4 linked regions of the Saccharomyces cerevisiae S288C genome follow. The gene in region 4 interacts genetically with the main gene of each other region. Each region holds a gene or a part of one and is shown on either strand. Other genes may lie near its edges.

Region 1 (4,053 bases), on a different chromosome or scaffold from region 4:
CATCCAGGTGGTAATATCAGAGATAACGTATTTGATTTCCATGTTTCTAAGCGTAGTGAGGTGGAGACCAGTTTAAAAGAATTAATCATTGATGATGCAAACACTACAAAGGTAAAAGAAGAATCCACGCGTAAAAATCGCGGGTATGAAGTGGTTGTGAGAATTAGTAAGGACGATCTTAAAACAAGTGCTTCCGTTCGTTCCAGAATTATCACGCTACAAAAGAAAGTACGCAAGCTATCTAGAGGAAGTGTAGAGAGGGTTAAAATTGGCGTGCAATTTTATGAAGAATAAAGACATCTAGTCTTTAAATACTTGAACAATAAATACGAAATCCTTATATAAGCATCTTTTACTACCAAAAAAATTTAAAATTAAGCAAGAGAAAAAAACGAGCAATTGTTAAAAGAAACTAAAATCATGTAGATTTCATAAATCGTCATATTCTTTGTCTATATAAATATTTATCGTCACGAATAAATCCCGTGAATTTCTAACAAAGTTTATACAATATCACAGTTGTAAAAGTAAGAAAAAAAAAGATCATAGAAAACATGTTCACATAAGTAGAAAAAGGGCACCTTCTTGTTGTTCAAACTTAATTTACAAATTAAGTTTAAGCACCGATGATACCAACGGACTTACCTTCAGCAATTCTTTTTTGGGCCAAAGCAGCAATAACAGCGGCACCAGCACCGGAACCATCTTCAGCAGGAACAATCTTGATTGGGTAGTCGTCTAGTGAGGTTTGAGTCCAGCCGTAAATGTCCTTCAAAGCATTGGCAGCCTTTTCTTTGAAACCTGGGTATCTGTTGTAAACGGAACCGTCTGCAGCGATGTGACCGGTCTTGTAACCTCTCTTTTGACAGATAGCAGCAATACCACAAACGGACAATCTAGCAGCTCTAGCACCAATCAATTCAGATAAACGTCTGATCAATTTACGTTCTTGAACAGTAGTGTTGATACCGAACTCATTTTGGAACAAGTCATCGGTATCTTCTAGGTTCTCGAATGGATCTTCCTCGATTCTGGCTGGGTAAGAAGTGTCCATGACGAAAGGCTTGTCGAACTTAGACAAGTCTTGGTTCTTGAAGATGAAACCTTGTTTGTACATGTCCATCAAGGCCAAACGCAAAATTTCACCTAAGTAGTAACCAGAAGACATTTTTTCAAAGGTTTGTTGGCCTGGTCTTGGAGATTCTTCATCAATGGTGATATCGTATTTAGTTCTTGGCAAAACGACATGTTCATTATCGAAGGAACCGTATTCACAGTTGATGGCCATTGGAGCAGATGGTGGAATGTCATCAGATAGTTTTCCTTGTAGCTTTTCGATATCGGAACAAACATCGTAGTAAGCACCATTGACACCAGTACCGAAGATAACACCCATCTTAGTTTCTGGGTCAGTGTAGTAAGAAGCAACCAAAGTACCGGTAGTGTCGTTTATCAAAGCAACAACTTCAATTGGGATATTCCTCTTAGTGATTTGCTTTTGCAACATTGGAACAACATCGTGGTTTTCAATGTTTGGAATATCAAAACCTTTAGTCCATCTTTGCAAGATACCTTCATTGATTTTGTTTTGAGAAGCTGGGAAAGAAAAGGTGAAACCCAATGGAATTGGCTCAGAGATACCTTGTGGGAATTGCTCATCAATAAAAGCTTTCAAAGAGTCGGCAATAAATTCCCACAATTCGTCTGGATTTTGAGTAGTTCTCATAGCATCTGGTAATCTGTACTTAGATTGAGTGGTGTCAAAGGTACGGTCACCGCCCAACTTGACTAAGACAACTCTCAAGTTGGTACCACCCAAATCAATGGCCAAGAAATCACCGGATTCCTTACCAGTTGGGAAATCCATAACCCAACCTGGAATCATTGGAATGTTACCACCCTTCTTGGACAAACCCTTTTCCAATTCGGAAATGAAGTGCTTGGTAACGGCTTGTAAAGTTTCAGTTGGAACAGTGAAAATTTTTTCAAAATTCTCAATTTGTTGCATCAATTCCTTTGGCACATCGGCCATGGAACCCTTTCTGGCTTGTGGTTTTTTTGGACCTAAATGAACCATTTTATTTAATTAGCGTACTTATTATGTGTGGAGAATTATATTCCTACAACCTTTTCAAAGAAAAAGCGAAAAAATATTAAGAAACTTTGAAGTTAAGTTATAAAAGTTAAGGAATTTTTTTTAGATATGGGGTAGGATTACTCTTTTTTATAGTTTTGTAGATAAGACAGTGGCGAAGGTGCAACAAAGAGACATCACGGAATTGGACACGATATTTGCAAGCTCGCCTCAGCAGGAGGTAATTTCGTGGATCTCGCAATCAAAGGTGTTTCGTGGTCGTCGTCGTCGTCGTGGAAAATTTTTCAGAAAGAAAAGAACGATTACCTAAACTGTCTTTTTCTTTTACAACATGATGTCCCTGAAACAGAGAAAGTACCGTACGAATGTCGATCGACCGGAAAAACTGCCCGCGAGAAAAAGAAATCTCTTTTCTTCGATTTTTTTGTGCCGTCCGGTTTATTGCCCGGTGCCGTCCGGCATGATAGCCATTTCTAGGTACCAATGTGCGAGGAGGTTCAGAAAACTCGTAGTAACATGATGGAAAAGGCATTAGAAAGAGCAGTATACTCTGGGGTCACCAATGTGGAGCTCTGGAGCCCCGCACTTTTTTTCAAGAATAATAGGATGTATACGTAATACGTAATAGGTATCACGCTATTTACTCTTGCCTTTTCTTTGTTTCATAGTTCGAATCACATGAGTAGAGGACGGAAATTGCTCTTCTATGGCGTTCAGTATTCGAATAAATCCCAGACGCTAGGCTTATATAAATGAATGTAGCTGTACTTTACCAGCGTCTCAGGAATGAAGGCGTGCGTGTGGTCATAGTGGTCAATGAGATCAAATACAGATGCGAATGGACTAAGCTCTTGACAATCACTATGTTTGCACCGGTTATCCGACCAGTAACTCTCTGGATCAGTTGGGGTTTGTGCCGTAGTGCTATCAACGCTTTCACTACTGCTTGTCCCAGTAGTGCTAAATGAAAGTTGTGGAATGGATGTAGTGTCGGTGCTGCTGGATTTCTCAGAGGTTGGAAGCGATTCCTTCAGAGATGGATCTCCAGATGGTACAACAAGCTTACTTGCTATATGATGTTGCAACATATGATTTATTAGATCGTCATTGAAGCTGGTAACTTTTTGACATGATTTGTATGGGCATTGTAGCACTTGCATGTCATCATATCCAGGCAAATGACCTTGCGAGAATTCTTCACCACACATTGGAGAGCCGGAAGGTAATTTTGGGTCAAAACCTCCCTCCTTGCCATTGAGTTCTGCTTTCACATTCGCATTCACTCCTTCGTGTTTACGGTCAATTCTTGATGCAAGCTTGCTTTTTCTTTCATGACTATTTAAATGCCTTCTTAATTGCTGATTTGTGACAAATCTTTTTTGACATAATGTGCACGCTTTGGGCTTGATTTGTGAATGAGTCCATTTGTGAACTCGTAGATGGCACGGTCTTATAAATTTTTTGCCACATCCCGGCTCATCACAATGATACGGCTTTTGATTGGTATGCGAATTTTGGTGTTGCTGAAGCAAACTAGGTCTGTTGTAGACTTTCTCACAACCGTCAAAAGAACATTTGTAATTTCTAGACTTGGTTCTCCCTATATCCGTCATTGTTTTGGTGGCCACGTATTCTGGTACCACTTGTGCACACCAGCGTAAAAGTTGTCATTTTCATCTTCTTTAGCGTATTTATTGTCCGAGACTGTTAAAGAAAAATTATTACTGTTTTTTTGCTATTACTAAAGAATAAATAACTATAAAATATGAAATAGAATCTATATGGAACATGCAGAATTTCGCTTTGGTTTAAGCCCACTTACCGATCAAAGCCATGATACCAGCACCGAAAAGAGTGCATATAACGTTGAAGGACAATTCTCTTAGATCCTTTGTTCTTTGAGGATTGAATATAAAGTCTCTTGCTAGTAGTTCAACCAAACCAGTGTACAATAAGAT
Region 2 (3,347 bases), on a different chromosome or scaffold from region 4:
ATGCATCAAAAAATTAAGACATAACAAGGCCTTGCTACGTGGTTTAACACCTACAATATTGAGAGAAGGTCATGGATGTGGCACATATTTCTTAGTGTATGAAGCGTTGATTGCTAACCAAATGAACAAAAGACGTGGACTAGAGAGAAAGGACATTCCTGCATGGAAACTTTGTATTTTTGGAGCATTGTCTGGCACTGCCTTATGGTTGATGGTATATCCATTAGATGTCATCAAGTCTGTCATGCAAACGGATAATTTACAAAAGCCTAAATTTGGTAATTCTATTTCCAGTGTAGCCAAGACTTTATATGCCAATGGAGGGATAGGCGCTTTTTTCAAAGGGTTTGGTCCTACCATGCTAAGAGCTGCTCCCGCCAATGGTGCCACTTTTGCTACTTTTGAATTAGCGATGAGGTTATTGGGTTGATAATTCCTATAGAATTTATGAGCCATCGTTTAAGAAAATAGTACAATATAATGTATAACTTGAAACTCTATCTTCTTATATTCAATAGATGCTACTATGCGTACATATATATGGTGAGTGTGTGTGTTTATATATGCGTAGTAATCACTCGGCAATGTGGAATTGTTACCGTGATAGCCTTCATGCTTACTCTTCCAACCTTCTTAGCAAGTATTCCACCTCAACTTCCTTAGTGATAGGTATAACAATTTCCTTATAAATTTTTACCAAATATTCTGGAGTAATCCTTCTTTCACCTGACTCGTTGGTAGGGTCCACACCATAGACTTCAGCCTTCTTAGTTAATCTTTCTAGAATCTTTTCTTCAACGGCAGAATTGGTGATATTCTTCATTATCCCCTCGACATCTTTACTTTTGATCAGCTTTGTGTATAGCGGGATATCCGATTGGAACTTGGCTTCAGCAACAAACTTGCCAAAGTGGATTCTCCTACTCAAGCTTTGCAAACATTCTATATCTCTAGTGGCAACAGAACCGAAGTTATTCTTATCATCACCATCTCTTTTCGAAATTAATGGTATAATCTTTTCAATATAAACTTTTTTTATTTTATCATTGTAATTAACTTCTGGGGCATAAGGCGCCAAAATTTGTGGGTAGTTAATGCTCGGTAAGAATGATTTCTGAATCTTGTCAGGAAAGAAGGGAGTTTCATCAGGTGATTCGAATCTTCTGATGCGAGAATGCGCAATTTCAAGATTTGAAAGAGCCCAATCCAAGAAAGATCCTTTAAAATTCGGAATTTCTAAACCTGGATGGTTTGCCTCATAAACTGAAGGACATGTGGCGAAATGCGACCTCTCAATAAATTTGAAGATGATCGAATCCTCCATTCTAACTAATTCATCTCTAATATTTTGTAGATTTAAAACAGTTTCTGGTTTTGTGAAATCCATATCTTATACCAATTTTATGCAGGATGCTGAGTGCTATTTGTTAGCAAAACGGAATCGATGTTTCAACTTTTCAATACTTTTTTTCTTCTTTTCTTCGAACTTCGAAGATTATAGAGATCCATTGAAAATTTACGATAAAGGAAATGCAACACGAAGTTTGAAAAAAAGTTGATATTGAAAAAAAAAAAAAAAGAGAACCAAAAAAAAATTAAAAAACGTGAAAACGATGGTTTAACAACTTTTTTCGAATTTGGTATACGTGGAAAAACGAATGTATAGATGCATTTTTAAAGAATATATATAAAATTTAGTAATTGTATTCCGCGAGCGGCGCAATAGGTGATTTCATTTAGCTGCTTTCAGTTTGCGTATCATTTCTTCATTGATCTTGGCTTCTCTATCTAAATCCTCTTTCGACTTGTAAAGTCCCCAAGTTCTAAACCATAAGAACCGCCTCAATCTGGAAAATTTGTCAGTATCAAGACCATAATTCGTGTATGACTGAATCAAATGTAATCCACTTTCGTCATGAGTAAATTCGGCCTTGCTCAGAGACTCCTGGATTTTGGCTAACAACGCAGTCCCTTCGATGCATATAGCTAGGCCACAAATTATGCCAATAACGGTCCATGGGTTGATGTTTTCTTGAATTCTTTCGTTTTTCATGCTATTTGCGTCTTCCCAAGTCCCAGCGTTCCAGTATTCATACTGCGCGTTAGAGTGGTAGCCATAAGAGCCGGCATATTGGTAATTTTCAGTATTAACGTTAGAACGTGGTGAATACGATGTGGTCCAGCCTTGCCTCGTTGTGTCATATACGATCTTTTTCTTTGGGTCACAAAGAATATCATATGCTTGAGAGATGACTTTAAATCTATGTAGTTTTTCGCTTGATGTTAGCAGCAGCGGTGATTTACTATCACTGTTGGTAACCTTTTCTGAGCTAAATATTTGAATGTTATCGGAATGGTCAGGGTGGTACAATTTTACATAACGATGATATTTTTTTTTTAACGACTTCTTGTCCAGTTTAGGATTTCCAGATCCGGCCTTTGGAATGCCAAAAATATCATAGGGAGTTGGATCTGCCAACTCAGGCCATTGTTCATCCCTTATCGTAAGTTTTCTATTGCCATTTTTATCGTTCGCTGTAGCATACTTAGCTATAAAAGTGATTTGTGGGGGACACTTTTCTACACATGATAAGTGCCACTTGAATAAAAATGGGTATACGAACTTATGGTGTAGCATAACAAATATATTGCAAGTAGTGACCTATGGTGTGTAGATATACGTACAGTTAGTTACGAGCCTAAAGACACAACGTGTTTGTTAATTATACTGTCGCTGTAATATCTTCTCTTCCATTATCACCGGTCATTCCTTGCAGGGGCGGTAGTACCCGGAGACCCTGAACTTTTCTTTTTTTTTTTGCGAAATTAAAAAGTTCATTTTCAATTCGACAATGAGATCTACAAGCCATTGTTTTATGTTGATGAGAGCCAGCTTAAAGAGTTAAAAATTTCATAGCTAATGGTGACAGGGGGAATGGCAAGCAAGTGGGATCAGAAGGGTATGGACATTGCCTATGAGGAGGCGGCCTTAGGTTACAAAGAGGGTGGTGTTCCTATTGGCGGATGTCTTATCAATAACAAAGACGGAAGTGTTCTCGGTCGTGGTCACAACATGAGATTTCAAAAGGGATCCGCCACACTACATGGTGAGATCTCCACTTTGGAAAACTGTGGGAGATTAGAGGGCAAAGTGTACAAAGATACCACTTTGTATACGACGCTGTCTCCATGCGACATGTGTACAGGTGCCATCATCATGTATGGTATTCCACGCTGTGTTGTCGGTGAGAACGTTAATTTCAAAAGTAAGGGCGAGAAATATTTACAAACTAGAGGTCACGAGGTTGTTGTTGTTGACGATGAGAGGTGTAAAAAGATCATGAAAC
Region 3 (3,176 bases), on a different chromosome or scaffold from region 4:
ACCATAATAATGGGCGCGGTGTAGTACGAAACTATTCATCATTAGTCCGTGATAAAGGATTTTCTGGTCTTTATCGTGGTGTTTTGCCAGTTTCCATGAGACAGGCCGCAAACCAAGCCGTTAGATTGGGTTGTTACAATAAGATTAAGACCTTGATCCAAGATTATACGGATTCGCCAAAAGACAAACCTTTATCATCCGGGTTAACCTTCTTAGTGGGTGCATTTAGTGGTATTGTGACGGTCTATTCCACCATGCCCCTTGATACTGTGAAAACAAGAATGCAAAGTTTGGATTCCACCAAATACTCCTCTACAATGAATTGTTTTGCAACCATTTTCAAAGAAGAAGGGTTAAAGACGTTTTGGAAAGGTGCTACGCCTAGACTTGGGAGATTGGTCTTGAGTGGTGGTATTGTTTTCACTATCTATGAAAAGGTCTTAGTTATGCTAGCCTGAAATGTATTATTGTGTACAATATATCATCTAATGTTTTCTACTCGTTATAAGTCTATTTACCAGCCGATCACTTAAAAAAGTTATATATCTCTTTTTATCATAATGAAGAAGATGGCTTATGCTTGATTTTGACTTTGGTTGAGGTATTTCTTTTCCAATTTTTTGACTTGAATGTAGTCGTATATACTCTTCAGGGTGATAAATAGCCCAAGAAATGCCACAAAAACAGCCAACCATGGTATGTTTTGTTTTTCTTCATCCAGACCGTGATTCAAATGTGATTCAAATTTATCTTGTGTCGTTGATTGTGAATTTAGACGAACATCATCGAATTCATTTGGATCCTCTAATTCCATTCTATTTAAGCTTTTATTTTTGCCGACTTTTGAAGTAACATCATTGGGAATCATTGAATAACCATATCCAATGAACGTTAACCCTAATCCAAACCTTGAACCTTGCTTTGCTGCGTGAGATGTGTGTAAAATGTAGGTTATTAAAAATCCAATGAACTGAAAACTCGTGCTTACGATGATATTCCATAATAAATTTGCTATATTTCCTACAGGAAGCCCCTCAATGCATATTTCGTCGTAGTAGATATCTGAATTGTTCAAATCCATTCCATAATACGAGGGGGCCATATCAGCAGCAGCTTCGTCGTATGTAGGTGGTATGTCTTGTTCGTTATTACCTTCAGTCTCTGTGGTATCTGGTTTTGCGCTTAAATTGCTAAAGACACCATCAAACATGGCACCTTGTTGTATATCCGAAGACTGTTGTGTACGTTTCTTAAAAAGTCTATCAAGAATATTAAAATGTCTTCCTATTTTTCCTATATGTCTGGCTGCTTGTTCCCTCAGCTGGTGTGGTACTAGTCTTTCTGTCGTACTATTTCCTCCACTGCTGCTTCCCTCGTCCTCTATGCTATCTTCCTCGTCAGACCCTATTTCCGTTTCCCCTTCTACGCCAGTTTGTGTGTCTCTAGTTCGTCCTGCGTTTCCGACATTTATGCCATCAGTAGATGAACCTGCATGAAGTGTATTCATTTCTTGCCCTATAAGTAGTTCTTGCTCTGGCATAGCGCTTAGTTTCCTAGACTACGTGTTCTTGTTATTCTCATGCTCTTTTTATGTATCTAAATTGGAAGATTTTTATAAAGGTTATGTACTATTCTTCTAAAAAAAGTAGGCGCAAAGGGACTCCGCATCGTATAACACGATGATAATACAAATTCTTCCACGGTTATTTACATCTCCGGTATATTTTATATATGTGTATATATTTTCTATGTATTCTGTGTGTTATTGTTACTGCTACCATTATTGCTATTAGTCAACAATGTCGCTTCGCTATCATGTGGTGCTACTGGAGGTGCTATAGGAAGACTAGGTGTAGGTACCGATTTACTAGCTGCCCCACCTGGGATTACTGGCTGCAGTGTGGGATTGGGTGAATTAGTAACAGTGTGATTGGCAATCGGGTTTGGGATTGAAGGTATCGTCACACCAGCGCGAATGTTACTATTCAGCTTAGTTTTCAGCGATTCTGGACTCGGAAGCATTGCATTGGTGCCACTACTTGTGTCATTGGGCGCTGCTGCGAACTCTTCTTTTGTATTAACTTTCCCAGGCAGTTTAATAGAAAGTAGTAGCGAATGACCCGGAATATGGTCAATAATATAACAAGGAGGTGAAACTGGCTTAGGTCTATCTGGCCTGCTTTTATAAGTGGTTGTGTTTCTCAATTCGTACGATTCCACAGAAGGGCCTACGTCAACACCACCAGGCATTAAAGTGCTAGGTACTGGAGTCCTGAAAGTTCTTGGAATATCTGCAATATCTGGCAGTAAAATCTCTCCTGGTGGCAACGATGAAGCATTTCCTGCTGCTACTGTGTTGTGAACGCCGTTCATAGATGTATTACTTGCAGATGTGCCGGACAATGCGAGCATACCACGTCTATTAGATCTACCTTGTCTTCTTTTCCTTCTTGTGTCTCTGTCCTTATCTTTATCCAATCTCTCTAACTCTGCAGCTGAAATCTGTAATAGGTTTGGAGTAAAAATTTTGCTTTCCGCTGCAGGCCTATAAACATCATCAAGAGTAATCGTTGGGAGCATTCTGCTTCTAATGTCATCATCTTCTATCGCTGATCCATCAAAATTGTAACCTAACAGTGCCAGTGATTTATGATACATATGAACTTGCTCTCTTATGGAGTGAGCAATGGCAGTCACAAACTCACCTGGTAGTTCTAATTCTTGACACATGGACTCTGCAAACTCTTCTGGACAGTTATCACTATTAGAGATGTCCCACTCAAATTGATCGATTAACTGGTTTTGTCCCACGACAATATCCAGCTTGATTCTAATTCTCAAGTCATCACCGCCTAGACGGTCCTGATTCAACTCTATATATGGATTTCCTTGAAACTCCTGAATCTGCTCTTGTATAGATTGACAAATAGTATCAATGTGTTGCTCTCTCGTAGCGTCCTCAAATCGGTAATCTCGCAACATGTCGTCCACAAAGTCTTCAATTTTAATAAGCTTGTCATTTTTGTTCCATAACAAAGTGTCCCTGAGGAAGAATCTGTCACGATCTTGATCGAACTCCAATCTTATGGGAACTAACTGTTCCGATGTCTCATTCATGGCCTGTTTATAGACTTTTAATTTATCCTCTAGGTAATGCTTCCTATTTCCAACTTCTA
Region 4 (5,321 bases):
AAGGAAAACCCTTCCATTTCTGTACCTCGAGAATATCAGATGTACGATCCGGTGGTACGTGCCACTATAAAGGAGGTTGTCACCAAGCGATTACTGCGATCCGCCTTCGATAATGACATCGACCCGCTAATGTGTCTTCATTTGGATAAAGGCTGGAAACTTAAATTCCCCATACTATCCTCGACAACGGGCCTAAACTTCTCCCTGAAGGATTGTCTTTCCCTGGACACAGGAAAAGATGCATCTGATATGACAGAGGTGTTTCTCGCTACTATGGAGTCGAGTAAAGTTCTTCGTACGTATAGCAACCTCGTTGACATTGTGATGAAGGACAATGGTAGGTTGGACTCAGGCGTCCTAAAGCAATTCAACGACTACGTTAAGCAAGAAAAGCTCAATCTACAACATTTTCAGGCCGGTTCCTCAAAGTTTCTCAAAGGCGCAAAGATATAATCCTCTTATATAGCATGTAAATAGAAAGTACGTAAAAAAAAGCTACTATTGACTTTATTCTCCGTGAGGGCGGTTCTTTCTGTAGCTGTTGGTTTTTTCCAGATCTTATGTGACACACCTGCACAACAATGTCATTCTCTGTCAGCTGCAAGACTCCCAAGACCACGAAGCTGCTGGTATCTTCTATTTCAGAGAGCGCTGTTGCTCTTATTATTATTACCATACGTATACTTTTTTCCATTGGCAAAAGCGATTTCAAAAAAATAATCTCCAAGGAAATAAATGGTGCAGAAACAATATACTACAGAAATATACCGGAAAGTAAACCCCAAGGGAGTTAGCACAAGATGAATCTAAGATTTGAATTGCAGAAACTATTGAACGTTTGCTTTTTGTTTGCATCTGCTTACATGTTCTGGCAAGGCTTAGCCATTGCTACTAATAGCGCTTCTCCGATCGTGGTGGTGCTTTCAGGCTCCATGGAACCAGCTTTCCAAAGGGGTGATATCCTTTTCCTATGGAATAGAAATACTTTCAACCAAGTAGGTGATGTCGTGGTGTATGAGGTCGAAGGGAAACAAATCCCCATTGTGCATAGAGTTTTGAGGCAACATAACAATCACGCGGACAAGCAATTCCTCCTGACCAAAGGTGACAATAACGCCGGCAATGATATCTCACTATATGCTAATAAGAAAATTTACTTGAACAAGTCAAAGGAGATTGTAGGGACCGTCAAGGGCTACTTTCCACAACTAGGGTACATTACGATTTGGATTAGCGAGAACAAATATGCCAAGTTTGCATTGTTAGGTATGTTGGGGTTGAGTGCTCTGCTGGGGGGCGAGTAGTTCGCCAAGTTTTTTTGGAACGATGTTTACGTACTTTGTATTTGTGCTTATGGTCTTTAACTTGTTTAATTATATAACCATAACCATTCGGTCCACGCTGAAAACAAAATATTGTCTTAGGACACGCTTTGAGAATTATTGAAAAAGGAGCTCCCACAGTGATGTAGGCAATTCAACAGAGATGATTTGTGTCATTTTTTATAAGGTGATACCGTCGCTCATTAACTCGATATCTTGAAAAGGCATATGTGTCGGTAATTGAGACCGCTAGGTTTAACTTCTCGAATAAAAAATGGTCTAAGCTGCATAAGCATATAGAATTGTACAATCAGTGTATAGGTAGAGCAGAAGCAGTCCAAGATTCGAGCTAATAATACTCATATAATATCCATCGCGATGGGTATTATATGAAACATAACAATCGTACATGGTGATTGAAAATAATAGATGATAAGAATCATTTTCAAATAATAGTGTAGATCTTAAAAACTCTTGGCCTGTTTAGACGAGCGGCAGAACGACAGGCAGCCATACTATCAAATGGACCCTCACCAATCACCAGCTGATAATGCCGCATCGCCTACGAAGAGCGTGAAGGCAACCACTAAAAATTCGTCCACGAATAATAATGTCAATAGCAACAACAGCAATAATAACAGTAACCATGATATACTGAATTTTAATGATAACTATACTACCATTCTGCAACATTTGGCAAACGACCATCCTAATATACTGAGGGAGAAAGGAGGATCACAACAACAACAGCATCAGCAGCAGCAACAACAGCAACAACAGCAGCAACAACAGCAGCAACAACAGAGCCTGGATACCCTTTTGCACCATTATCAAAGTTTACTCTCCAAGAGTGATAATGCAATAGCCTTTGATGACAATGTTAGTAACAGCGCAGATCATAATGGCAGTAATAGCAACAATAATAACAACAATAATGACATATCTAGTCCCGGTAATCTGATGGGATCTTGCAATCAATGTAGATTAAAGAAAACAAAGTGCAACTATTTTCCCGACCTAGGCAACTGTCTCGAATGTGAAACGTCAAGAACTAAATGCACCTTCAGTATTGCTCCAAATTATTTGAAAAGAACGTCCTCTGGGGCAAACAATAACATGCCAACCTCTTCAAACTCCAAACGAATGAAAAATTTTGAAGACTATTCGAATCGCTTACCCAGTAGCATGCTCTATAGACATCAACAGCAGCAGCAACAGCAACAGCAGCAACAGCGTATACAATACCCCAGATCCTCTTTTTTCGTCGGTCCGGCCTCAGTTTTCGATTTGAACTTGACCAAGCATGTAAGACTAGATAATGTTGACCAAATACAGCTATCAAAAACTTTATCATTAAGAAAGGTGTCTCCTACCGCACAGTTTATTCTTCAGGACGATTTTGACACGACCCTTCATAGTAAGCAAGAATACGAAGTTGATTTGGTCGAAAATCTGGTACATCCGCACGGTCACCTTTTAGTAGAGATTTTCTTCAAATTGATTCATCCTTTTCTTCCAATTTTACACGAACGTGTATTTTTGGAAAAGTATTCTAGATCTTATAGAGAACTCACTGCGCCTTTACTGGCATCCATTTACTCACTGGCATTACAATATTGGGATTTTCATCCTGCACTTTTGGGGTTCCCTAAACCCGATGTAACTGCTCAACTAAACAATATCGCATTGGAAACATTTTATGCTCGAGTTGGAAGGCCAAAATTGAGCATTATACAAACAGGCCTTTTGATTTTGCAATGCCGTAGTGAATGTCATAACAACTGGGTCCTCTGCTCCAGCGTAGTGGCCCTTGCAGAGGAATTGGGGCTCGGGGTTGAATGTAATGATTGGAAACTTCCCAAATGGGAAAAAGATTTGAGAAAGAGATTAGCGTGGGCAGTTTGGTTGATGGATAAATGGTGTGCATTAAACGAAGGTAGACAATCCCATTTAATTTTAGGTAGGAACTGGATGATCAAGCTATTAAACTTTGATGATTTTCCTCTGAATTCGCCCACTATTTTAAATTCCTTGCAAAATGACCAGTCGGGGTCTTCACCCTCGTCATCAAATGATGTGAAAAACCATCAGATAGCATTTGGTAACTTGCCCATATTTAACATAAACCCCACTTTAGAAGATTTCAAGAATGGAACGCTTATGTTTCAACAAATGGTTTCCTTGAGTATAATTCTTGGGGAAATCATGGACACATTTTACACTCAGGGATCCATGACAATAAACAAAAGCATTGAACAGGTATTGAAACTGGCAAAGCCGTTGCAACTGAAATTAAGAGAATGGTACCATTCCCTACCCAAGAATTTGTCAATGAGTTATGCCACGCCACAAAAATTGAACTCAAATTCAACTTTAACTCTAGCTTATTTTGCCACGGAAATTACGTTACATAGGAAAATTATCTGTGCCTTGAATCCTCAAACTCCAAAGGAACTGGTTCAAGTATGCAGGACTGCTGCAAGAACCAGGCTTGTAGCAGCAATTGAATTTATAAGAGATCTAAAAAACGAACATATTAATGCTTTTTGGTATAACTGCTCAACTGGAAATCTGATGCTAATTGGAACATTTGCTGCCCTGCTGTATGTGACTTCAGCTACGAAGGAAGAGGCTATGATTTTCAGAGATTATGTTAGAAATTATACCTGGGTATTGAAGATAGGTTCCAAATACTTTGATAAACTATCGAATGCTTTGAATAATATGCATTTACTATTTGCACAAATTCCTGGTCTTCTGACCGATGAACCGGTGGTCGTGAGCCCTAACTCTAACATCAATTCCGTTAACCCACAAAGGTCAGGTGTACAATCGCAAATCCCAATACAATTTAACGTGGGATCACCTGCCATGACCGAGCAAGGATCTCCTTTAAACCAGTGGAAGAATTTGCCCCAGGAAATCTTGCAACAACTAAACTCCTTTCCCAACGGTACGACCAGTACAACAACGCCAGTAAACCCCACTTCCAGACAAACACAACTAGAATCGCAGGGAAGTCCAGCCATAAATAGTGCTAATAATAATAGCAACAACACGCCTTTACCATTTGCGCCAAATAAGTCTTCTAAAAAAACTTCACAATCTTCACCAAATGTTACGCCCTCTCATATGAGCAGACACCCCCCCTCTAATACATCTTCACCAAGAGTCAATTCCAGCACAAATGTCAACTCTAATACACAAATGAATGCTTCTCCCTTGACCTCAATTAACGAAACCAGACAAGAGTCAGGTGACGCTGCAGATGAAAAAACAGCAGGAAGAGAAAGAACCGCCAACGAGGAATCATCAACGGAACTCAAGGACGATAATCCAAACTCGAACCAGGAAACAAGCGCAACTGGTAACCAAACTATAAAAATGAATGATGATAAAAATGTAACAATTAACACAAGGGAAACCCCTCTGTAATATAAATAATAGCACATAAGTAAAAATGGAATACGGTAATAACTATATAGAAATATCTTCTGCAGGACCAAGGTTACTGAGTGGTGAATGTAAAATTATTTATTCGCTTGCGTTATATTTACATGTGGTATATCCGGATGCATAGAGCCTACTATAGAAATTTTGGGATTTTATCATGTTCTTTGGCGATTTCATTCAAATCACCTGGTTGGTTCATCATCATATGGACATCACCACTTAGGTAAACCTTTTCATCTTCTTTTTTCGACTTTTCTAAATCTTTTAGAACATTCAAATCAGTGACAATCCCTTCTTTGTTCTTAACGCCAGCATCTGGAGTTTTTTCGATTACTTCTTTTTTTGCCTCGTCTATTATACTTTGCCAGATCTCTTCCAATGACTCTTCCTTAGGAACCACAATATCAGTCTCATCTTCCTTCATCCCAGTTGCGTTCTTGCCGACGATTCCTAAACGCAAATTCACAAGTTTCAATTCATCATCTGCGTCGAAGTCTACCTTTCCATTATTATCATGAACCCTCCGTATCAGCTCTTTCAATTTAT

The links.
Region 1: mutations in DAL81 (region 4) and HXK2 together harm fitness more than expected from each alone (negative genetic interaction), as found in Saccharomyces cerevisiae (2 studies listed by BioGRID).
Region 2: mutations in DAL81 (region 4) and ARO7 together harm fitness more than expected from each alone (negative genetic interaction), as found in Saccharomyces cerevisiae (2 studies listed by BioGRID).
Region 3: mutations in DAL81 (region 4) and BSD2 together harm fitness more than expected from each alone (negative genetic interaction), as found in Saccharomyces cerevisiae (2 studies listed by BioGRID).

Annotation. Positions count from the first base shown.
Region 1 is NC_001139.9:21,959-26,011, reverse strand, and holds HXK2 (hexokinase 2), read right to left. Parts: upstream 2,078-4,053; coding exon 617-2,077; downstream 1-616. Other genes in the region: RTG2 (Rtg2p), read left to right, coding at 1-294; FZF1 (Fzf1p), read right to left, coding at 2,809-3,708; high-affinity Zn(2+) transporter ZRT1, read right to left, coding at 3,904-4,053. UniProt on the Saccharomyces cerevisiae protein: Catalyzes the phosphorylation of hexose, such as D-glucose and D-fructose, to hexose 6-phosphate (D-glucose 6-phosphate and D-fructose 6-phosphate, respectively).
Region 2 is NC_001148.4:674,245-677,591, forward strand, and holds ARO7 (chorismate mutase ARO7), read right to left. Parts: upstream 1,388-3,347; coding exon 617-1,387; downstream 1-616. Other genes in the region: YMC1 (organic acid transporter), read left to right, coding at 1-430; JID1 (Jid1p), read right to left, coding at 1,733-2,638; FCY1 (cytosine deaminase), read left to right, coding at 2,921-3,347. UniProt on the Saccharomyces cerevisiae protein: Catalyzes the Claisen rearrangement of chorismate to prephenate. Acts at the first branch point in the aromatic amino acid pathway where it steers biosynthesis towards phenylalanine and tyrosine, and away from tryptophan.
Region 3 is NC_001134.8:780,955-784,130, reverse strand, and holds BSD2 (Bsd2p), read right to left. Parts: upstream 1,541-3,176; coding exon 575-1,540; downstream 1-574. Other genes in the region: CTP1 (Ctp1p), read left to right, coding at 1-458; SNF5 (Snf5p), read right to left, coding at 1,747-3,176. UniProt on the Saccharomyces cerevisiae protein: Required for homeostasis of heavy metal ions such as cadmium, cobalt and copper. Controls metal ion transport and prevents metal hyperaccumulation by negatively regulating the SMF1 and SMF2 metal transport systems.
Region 4 is NC_001141.2:397,933-403,253, forward strand, and holds DAL81 (Dal81p), read left to right. Parts: upstream 1-1,844; coding exon 1,845-4,757; downstream 4,758-5,321. Other genes in the region: MRS1 (Mrs1p), read left to right, coding at 1-453; YIR021W-A (uncharacterized protein), read left to right, coding at 582-794; signal peptidase complex catalytic subunit SEC11, read left to right, coding at 801-1,304; INA22 (Ina22p), read right to left, coding at 4,909-5,321. UniProt on the Saccharomyces cerevisiae protein: Positive regulation of genes required for catabolism of GABA (UGA4, UGA1, and UGA2), urea (DUR1 and DUR2), arginine and allantoin.